Xenopus tropicalis: one gene and its partner. The protein of the gene in region 1 binds, or shares a complex with, the protein of each later gene. Links are inferred from orthologs where the notes say so. Each region holds a gene or a part of one and is shown in the gene's direction. Other genes may lie near its edges.

The links.
Region 2: kat6a (region 1) and brpf3 share a complex: the UniProt entries of both Homo sapiens proteins name them as parts of the MOZ/MORF complex. The link is inferred for Xenopus tropicalis from reciprocal best matches to the Homo sapiens genes KAT6A and BRPF3.

What each region holds. Positions count from the first base shown.
Region 1 is NC_030679.2:130,478,446-130,482,094, reverse strand, and holds part of kat6a (histone acetyltransferase KAT6A), read left to right. Parts: intron 1-146; coding exon 147-308; intron 309-1,991; coding exon 1,992-2,085; intron 2,086-2,412; coding exon 2,413-2,644; intron 2,645-2,782; coding exon 2,783-3,002; intron 3,003-3,621; coding exon 3,622-3,649. UniProt on the Homo sapiens protein: Histone acetyltransferase that acetylates lysine residues in histone H3 and histone H4 (in vitro). Component of the MOZ/MORF complex which has a histone H3 acetyltransferase activity. May act as a transcriptional coactivator for RUNX1 and RUNX2.
Region 2 is NC_030678.2:65,001,817-65,005,976, forward strand, and holds the start of brpf3 (bromodomain and PHD finger-containing protein 3), read left to right. Parts: upstream 1-1,216; 5' UTR 1,217-1,253; intron 1,254-3,975; exon of another isoform or gene 3,976-4,021; coding exon of another isoform or gene 4,022-4,030; intron 4,031-4,160. UniProt on the Homo sapiens protein: Scaffold subunit of various histone acetyltransferase (HAT) complexes, such as the MOZ/MORF and HBO1 complexes, which have a histone H3 acetyltransferase activity.

The sequences.
Region 1 (3,649 bases):
TCCTTTTATTCATCCTCCGTTTGGTACTGTGTCACCTTTATGCCAAAGCCACAAATGGGCAGAAATAAGGTGCGGGGGGGGGGGGGGGGAGAAAGAGGTGAAACTGCTCAGTATTGGATTATATGTTCCTATTAACATTTCTTTAGGTGGATGGAAAGGTGAGCACCATCTACTGCCAAAACCTCTGCCTTCTGGCCAAGCTCTTCCTCGACCACAAGACCCTCTATTATGACGTGGAGCCCTTTCTCTTCTATGTGCTGACCCAGAATGACTCGAAAGGCTGCCATCTTGTTGGATATTTCTCCAAGGTGAGGGAAAGGGGCTGTTTGCTGTGCACCTGTGTTTTTCTCACTAAGGAAGAACGTCCCCTGATTCAGCTTCTTCCCAAAGTAGGTTACGCGTAGTTCCAGCTACCTTCAAAGCCAGATGGCAAGCAAATGGATGAATAATGAGGAGCCCTGATACGATAGTGCTGTGGCAGTGTTCTTAAAGGGACCCCCTCACTTTAATTTTTCAAATTTTTTTTTTTTTTTTTTTTATGTTAATAGTTGATTGTATTCATATATGTTTAAAGGGGTGGTTCACCTTCAGATTAACTTTTATTATGTTATAAAATGGACAGTTCTTATCAACTTTTCAACTGTTCTTTATTTTTTAGTTAAATTATTTGCCACCTTCTAACCATTTTCAGCTTTCAAATTCCCAATGGCCCATAACATATAGCAACAGAGATAACACCCTGTTAAAATCCATGGAAAATGGCATTGTTGCAAAAGCTCTAGATAAGAAAATCAGCCTTCCCAGCACTCTTATCTCTCTCATCTAGATAATCAGCAATGCCCGGGAGATGGCTGCTTCAATAGGCTCCTTCGATTCTGGTTGTTTGGTGACCCTAGCATTTAGTAGCAAAGGTTCCACGTGCCAGGTTTCTGCGCTGCTAAGGAATGCAGGGTGGCGTGTCAGTGCCAGCAGTCGGAGATGACCCTGCTCTAATTGTACGGCAGATTCCAAGTCTATAGAATGACATGCCAGAAGCTCTACATCAGAGGCTTCCACGGGGTTCTAATGACTTGGTGAATGCAGAAAGCTGTGTCCTAGAGAATATGAAAGGCTTTAGGGCTCTTTAGTCAGGCTTCAGAATTCTAAATAAGGCTGGTTCCCAGGAGTTCTCTCTTTGTGGCTATAGCAGCATGAAGCTCATCTTTCATCCTTATAATCAGCAGTGAGCTGCAAGCTTCAGAGGGTTCGTGCCAGTGCTGATGACACCGGCCTGTAATCACCCGTCTGAAATCCCAGCGTAAAAATGTCTCTCATCTCCCACCCAAAAGTGACATTTTGTGGACTAATAGGGAATTTTGTTGCAATGCCTACATTCTGCACCCCATACGCAGCTGTGTTGCATGCAAGCAGTGGTCCATTACAGATCCATACAAGTCCATTACAAACTCCATGGATATACACTTAATTACAAATGCAGATTATTGTGCTCATGGTAAGTCGTAATGCAAGCAAGGGCTGGCCAATAGGCAAATGCAAGGTTAAAGAGAAATTGTACAACTGTGATTGGCATAAAATCCTCAGACTGCGCCCTCTGGTGGCCAGACTTGCTTAAACGTGCAAGAATTAGGTCCATTTCTTAGAGGGCCACAGAGTGCTCTTCCTGTTTAAGGTTGCTAGGGCAACTACCTTGTTTAAAATCTTGGTTGCTGATGAAAAAAAATGGAAAAACTTGAAACCCACAGCACAATATGCAGATCAGTTGCAGAGTCTATTGTGATACATATATAAAGGTGAATATTGCCTTTAAGAATGAGCAGCTTCTGCTTCAGCACCCTACTATGAGAAACCCTCCTACCCCCCTCCTCCTATAAAATAAAGCCTTCCCCACTAACCCGTTTATCCGGTCCATAGAAGCCATGTATGTGATTCTTGTATAATACTGGGCCTGATCCACGCTCTGATGCATCTTTGTGTTTCCCTTCCATCCCCAGGAGAAGCACTGCCAGCAGAAGTACAACGTGTCCTGCATCATGATTCTTCCACAGTACCAGAGAAAAGGATACGGCCGCTTCCTTATAGACTTCAGTAAGTAAGGGGGGGGAGGGGACATACTTGTTAACACTATATGGGAGCTGTTTGCTTAGATGTATTCCACTGCTTTAGAAGCGCTTTATGCAAACGTTACTCTCCATATGTCCCCTTCATTGACATCCAGGACTGGTTTCATAGAGTGTCTAGAAGTGCAGACATTCTCTCCAAATATTACCTGGCTTTTAGGCTGGATCCCTATCCAAGGCACTGTGCCCCGCTGGGGGAGAGCCCAAGCTCCCTGCATTACTGAAGGCATCGGCTTCTTACTGATGTATGATCCAATGTATAGTAATGCACAACACCTTTGCTATTTCCTCCTAGGTTACCTACTTTCTAAACGAGAGGGGCAAGCAGGATCCCCAGAAAAGCCACTTTCCGATCTGGGTCGGCTCTCTTACATGGCGTACTGGAAAAGTGTGGTACTTGAGTGTTTACATCACAACCGAGAGCACCAGCTAAGCATCAAAAGGCTCACCAAGCTGACTGGTATCTGCCCCCAGGACATTGCGGCCACGTTGCACCAACTACGTATGCTGGAACTTCGTGGAGACCGGTGAGCTCCTGCTGCTGCTGTTATACTTATTTGGGGCTTCCTTGTTGCTTCTTTTTCTTTAAATTCACTGGGGAATGTAATCCCCCACCCCTTACCAATGCGTTATATGCTTATCTGTTTGTCCTCTTCTTCGTACAGCGTTGTGTTGGTTCGTCGGGAACAACAAATTCAGACACACATGAGTCGTTTGCAGGCCCGGCCGCGGGAAGTAGAGGTGGATCCAGAAGCTTTGAGATGGACACCTGTTATTGTCACCAACTCTGTGGTCTCGGATGAAGAGGAAGCGGAATCTGAAGAAGAAGAGGATGAGGAGGAGGAGGAGGATGAAGAACAAAGAAGTCCTCTGAAAGACAACAGTGTGAGTATGGCAGACTGTGTAACCATACTGCTAGCCTGCTCTTCTGTTCTTAGTCTTGTTCAGTCACTTACCTGCTATACATTGAATGATGTGATATGAACGAAATCACTGATTTAGGCTCTGAGCTGGGCCTTCCCTTGGTAGCCATAGTCTAGCTCGGGGATCCCCAAACTTTATACATGTGAGCCACATTTAAATGGAAAAAGTGTTTGGGAGCAACACAAGCATTAAAAATGTACCTGGGGGTGCCAATGAGCTATAATTGCCTACTTATTAGCCCCTGTGTGGACTAGCAGCCTACAGAAGGCTCTTTTTGACATTATATTTGGTTTTTATGCAACCAAAACTTACCAGAAGTTCAAAAATAAGTAGATGCTTTGAGGCCACGGGGAGCAACATCCAAGGGGTTGGGAAGCAACATGCTATTCATGAGCCACTGGTTGGGGATCACTGGTCTAGCTCATACTTATTTTAAATAAACATACTTACCTTACAGTTTAATGTTAATGGGGAGGGAAGTAAAGTTTTATGTGTACAAATCAGAAACCTGGTTGTGTGAAATGAATAATGATAAAGCTGGAAACATTGCGGTTAATTATCTCCCTCCCTCCCTCCTTAGCAACAGGTTTTGAGAAGCATCTCAAGAG
Region 2 (4,160 bases), on another chromosome or scaffold:
GTAAGATTACTCGTTAAATTTTACCCATTGTTTTGTCCCTAAAATGTAAAATACTGCCTTAAGGTGGCCATACACGAGCAGATCCGCTCGCTTGGCGATGTCGCCAAGCGAGCGGATCTTCCCCCGATATCCCCACCTACGGGTGGGCGATATCGGGGAGCATTTAGGTAAAAAAAAAAAATAATCCGATCGTTTGGCCCTGGGGCCAAACGATCGGATTATGTGGGCAGCAATGGGGCAGTCGGATCGGGGACCGCATCAACAAGCCGATGCGGTCCCCGATCCGACCGGATTTTCTAACCTGGCCGATCGAGATCAGGCCAATTTCAGGCCAGATATCGGTCGGCCAGGCCGCTCTGCTCTCCCCATACACGGGCCGATTAGCTGCCGAATCGGTCCAAGGGACCGATATCGGCAGCTATAGTCGGCCCGTGTATGGGGACCTTTAGTGTTCACATAAAACACTGGACCAGAGCTCAAAATGACAAAAAGTCTTGCTGTGGGTGGCAGCTTGTGTTTCTTCTCTTTGAACCCCATGCCAGCACTGGTCTTTACCAACACCTTTTTGGAGCCCCTGAACTTTCTGCAGTGCAACTGATCAGGAACCTGCATACTTCTGTGACAGAACCAGAGCGAAGAGTAAAATTCTATAACCCTCTGAAGCCATTAAAAAAAAGACAAAAATCTCAAAATTACAGTTGGTAAATTTTACTTACTGTTTTATTCTAAATCAGCCATCGTTTTGTCCCTAAACTGTGAAAAATCTAGCCACAGCTGACAAAATACTTCCAGGTACAGAAAAGATCAAAAAGGTTACTTAATTTTACCAGGCCTAGTTTTCACAAAAGCCTTCACTTTTTTGCTGAAAACAAGAAAAGGGGCTCCTATCTCGTTACGTAGGATTAACTACAAAAGAAAAACGTATTTTTTTTCTTTTAGTTCCCTAGATCAAGACGAAGCTATACACAGAAAAAACAATGAGCAGAAGCTCTAGTGGCACAGCCCTTTGAACCCACCACAAACTACCACTTTTTGCAACAAGCATCAGGCTGTTTTACATTGAGTACATCGTCCTAACTCATCACTCTGCCAAACTGCTACGTACCGCGTCACTGCTCTCATAGACGTGAAGTTGTGATGTCACAGTCTCGCGCGATGAGACTTGTGACGTAGGGATTAGCTGTCAGGCAGGAACCAAGGGTCTGGATGTTAATGGCGTTGCGGGACGTTTAAGCAGGGAGCTTGGACAGCGGGTGTGTTAAGAACATCGTGATTGTCCCGCATATAGCGGGACTATTGTACTGTATGCTGCATACCGTTTTTAGTGACTGATTTCAATGTATCTTTTATACAAATCACATCGCTAAACGGTTTACTTGCTTAAAGCCTCCATGGGTTTTCTAGAGTTGCTTTACATATGTGTAACTGCATACGTGAATTTAACAGATAAGTAAATAATGTCGTGTCTTTGGATTTTTGACTTTGCACAGTGGTTCTCTCAAGGATTTTTTCAGGAATATTCTCATAGATTAAATCATTTCCTTGTGGACATGCTTTAGGGAAATGTATTATTGCAGTGCAAAGTGTAGCATTTTGTAGGATCAAGGCAGTATTTGCCCTGGTTTTAAGACACAGCGTAATATTTGCTAGGTGTTCTGATATTCATTGCAAATGTTTAAGTGTTAGGGATGCCCAGATTAAGTTTTTCAGGATTGGTCTGCGTGTTGAAATTTTCGTGAAGGTTTCTGAATCCCACTCCTAAAGAGCAGTTTAGCTTGGTCTGAAAGGGATTTTTCACAATAATGTTATCACATGATTTTAAGGGTTCTGCTTCGGTTCAGTCAGGCACTTGGATTCAGCCAAACTTGAACCCTGCAGAAGAAGGTTCAGCTGAATTCCAAATTTCATGCATACCTATTGTTCCAAAATGCAGTACTACACCTATTTTATGTTAATGATTAATGACCATTGGCAAGATTTAAGTGCATTTGCATTCTCTCGTGTTTTTATGCGGATTTCGGCTACATGTGCCTGCACCCGAGCGCATTCTATTCATTAGCCTAAGGCATTTAACAATTTTTGTTCCGTAACTTAGGGGCTTGGAATTTCAACTTTTAGACTTTAATTACCCTAATGTGAAGGCAGTTTGGAAGTCATAACCCTCATAGTCAATCTAATTTTTTTTATGGTAAGTGACCCCCCCCCCCCCACTGGATTGAAGTTACAGACTCGGAATAGACAGAATAATGAAGTCTAATAATTAACAAACTACCATCTTCTGCCTGTTCGTGTCCTCTTCATTCATTTACAAGGAGCCTGCACAGTTGAGGCTGCTTCTGGACCTAATTTCAACTGTGCATGCTCAATGTCAGCAAACTTCAAGACAAAACTTTGCAAGTAGTGCCCTGTCACAATTGAACTTGATATCACACTGCTGAAAGGCAGCAGGGGTAACCACTTAGCCACCATGCTGCCCACAGTAGTATTTTCTCTGCATTTGTTTTGTATAGGCAGATATCAAACAGCTTCCGGTCTGATTGGTCAGCAGTGTCTAATCTATTGTTTATCTGGGTAAATTATCTAAATAAGTTCTTTACTTTAAAATATCCTTTTTTGTAGGCAGTGATACTGTAAGACAGATTTGCATTACTTTTTAATCTTTACTTTTTATTTTATATCTCTCTGGCTAGGGATTTAATCTGCTGTTCAGTTGCTTGGGCTTGGAAATCAGGCATCAGCTTCGAAGTCAGAATAAAACATTAAAAAAGAGGGTATTATCAGAAAGATGATAAAGGGTTGATAGCAAAATCAGTCTTTCAGTAGATCTCTTTGGTTGCCAGGATCAGAGAAGTGTAAAAAAAAATGTCTAAAAATTTATTTTGAAAACTTCACCCTTAAAATACTAATAATAGATAAAATACTGAATTCTTCTTATAGTCATTGATAATCAGAAAATTTCAGTTGGTAATTAAAAATCTTTACCTTTTCTGTGTTATTGAGTAGGATTTATGCCCTTGTGGATAATTGGCTTTTAAGCTTACATTTCTGATGGAATGTACATTTTTAGGTGTATTACATAAGACTAAATGCTTCTGCTTTTAATGGAGCTACTACCCATTATAAACTACCATTATTCAAAACATTTGTGATGTTCGTTATTTGTAAATGTAATATTTAATGCTATTAAGACATGTCTCTTACCATTACTTCATTTGTTTTACCAATTACTTGGTGCATTCAAAAAATTGTACCAGTAATCAGCTACCCAAGTTTCTTCAGGGCCCTCCGTGTTTTTTGATCAACAGACCTAAGAAGAGGGAGAATAACAAGTTTGCAACAATGTGGGGATTTTAGTCTTATCTGTAAGGGAGTTTATTTCAGCAAAATTATTTCTGTATATTTTAAAGTTGCTTAGAGTTTAATATTTAACAGTTTTGAAATCAAAAGATGAATAGCAGAGTGCCTTAGAAGGAATGTAACCAAACAGAAGCCACGCATCTGGTGGCAGCCATTCACATACTTGCTTTCATTGTTCTGCCTGCAACTTGTTGGGAAAAAAAATCTAATCACTGATTAGTTGCTATAGGTTATTGCACAAATCAAATTCCCCCACTGTTGTAAATGAGCCAGCATATCTCTTTTTTTAGTTGTAGGCTGTAAATAGCCTTAATAGCAAAGCTAATAATTCAAAAACCATACAAATGAAATAATGAAGACTCAAAAGTTCTTTTGGGTAGAACATTTATAACAAGCTAAAAGTTAAAGGGATTCTGTCATGATTTGTATGGTTTAGTTTTTATTAATAAATTACACTGTGTACTTTGCATGTAATTAATTCTACAAATTAAAATGTTTTTCCTCAATCAATAAATTCATTTTTTATAGATGTAATATTGGTGTACAGCCAGCCATCTCAGTGCATTGTGTCTGATCCTGTGCTTTTTGAAAGAGCCAGCATATCACAATGGAACTGCTTTCAGATAAGCTATTGTCTCTTCTACATAATGTAACTGGAGGAGTCATGACTTGGGTGAGCCAGACGTGATTTTTTACTATTGAGTGTTGGGGTATGGGTCACTTTCAGCAAAACAGGTGTCAGCGAGCTGTTTTCTTGCTACTTTATCATTGATCTGTTGATAGGCTGCTGGGGCCAAATGGGA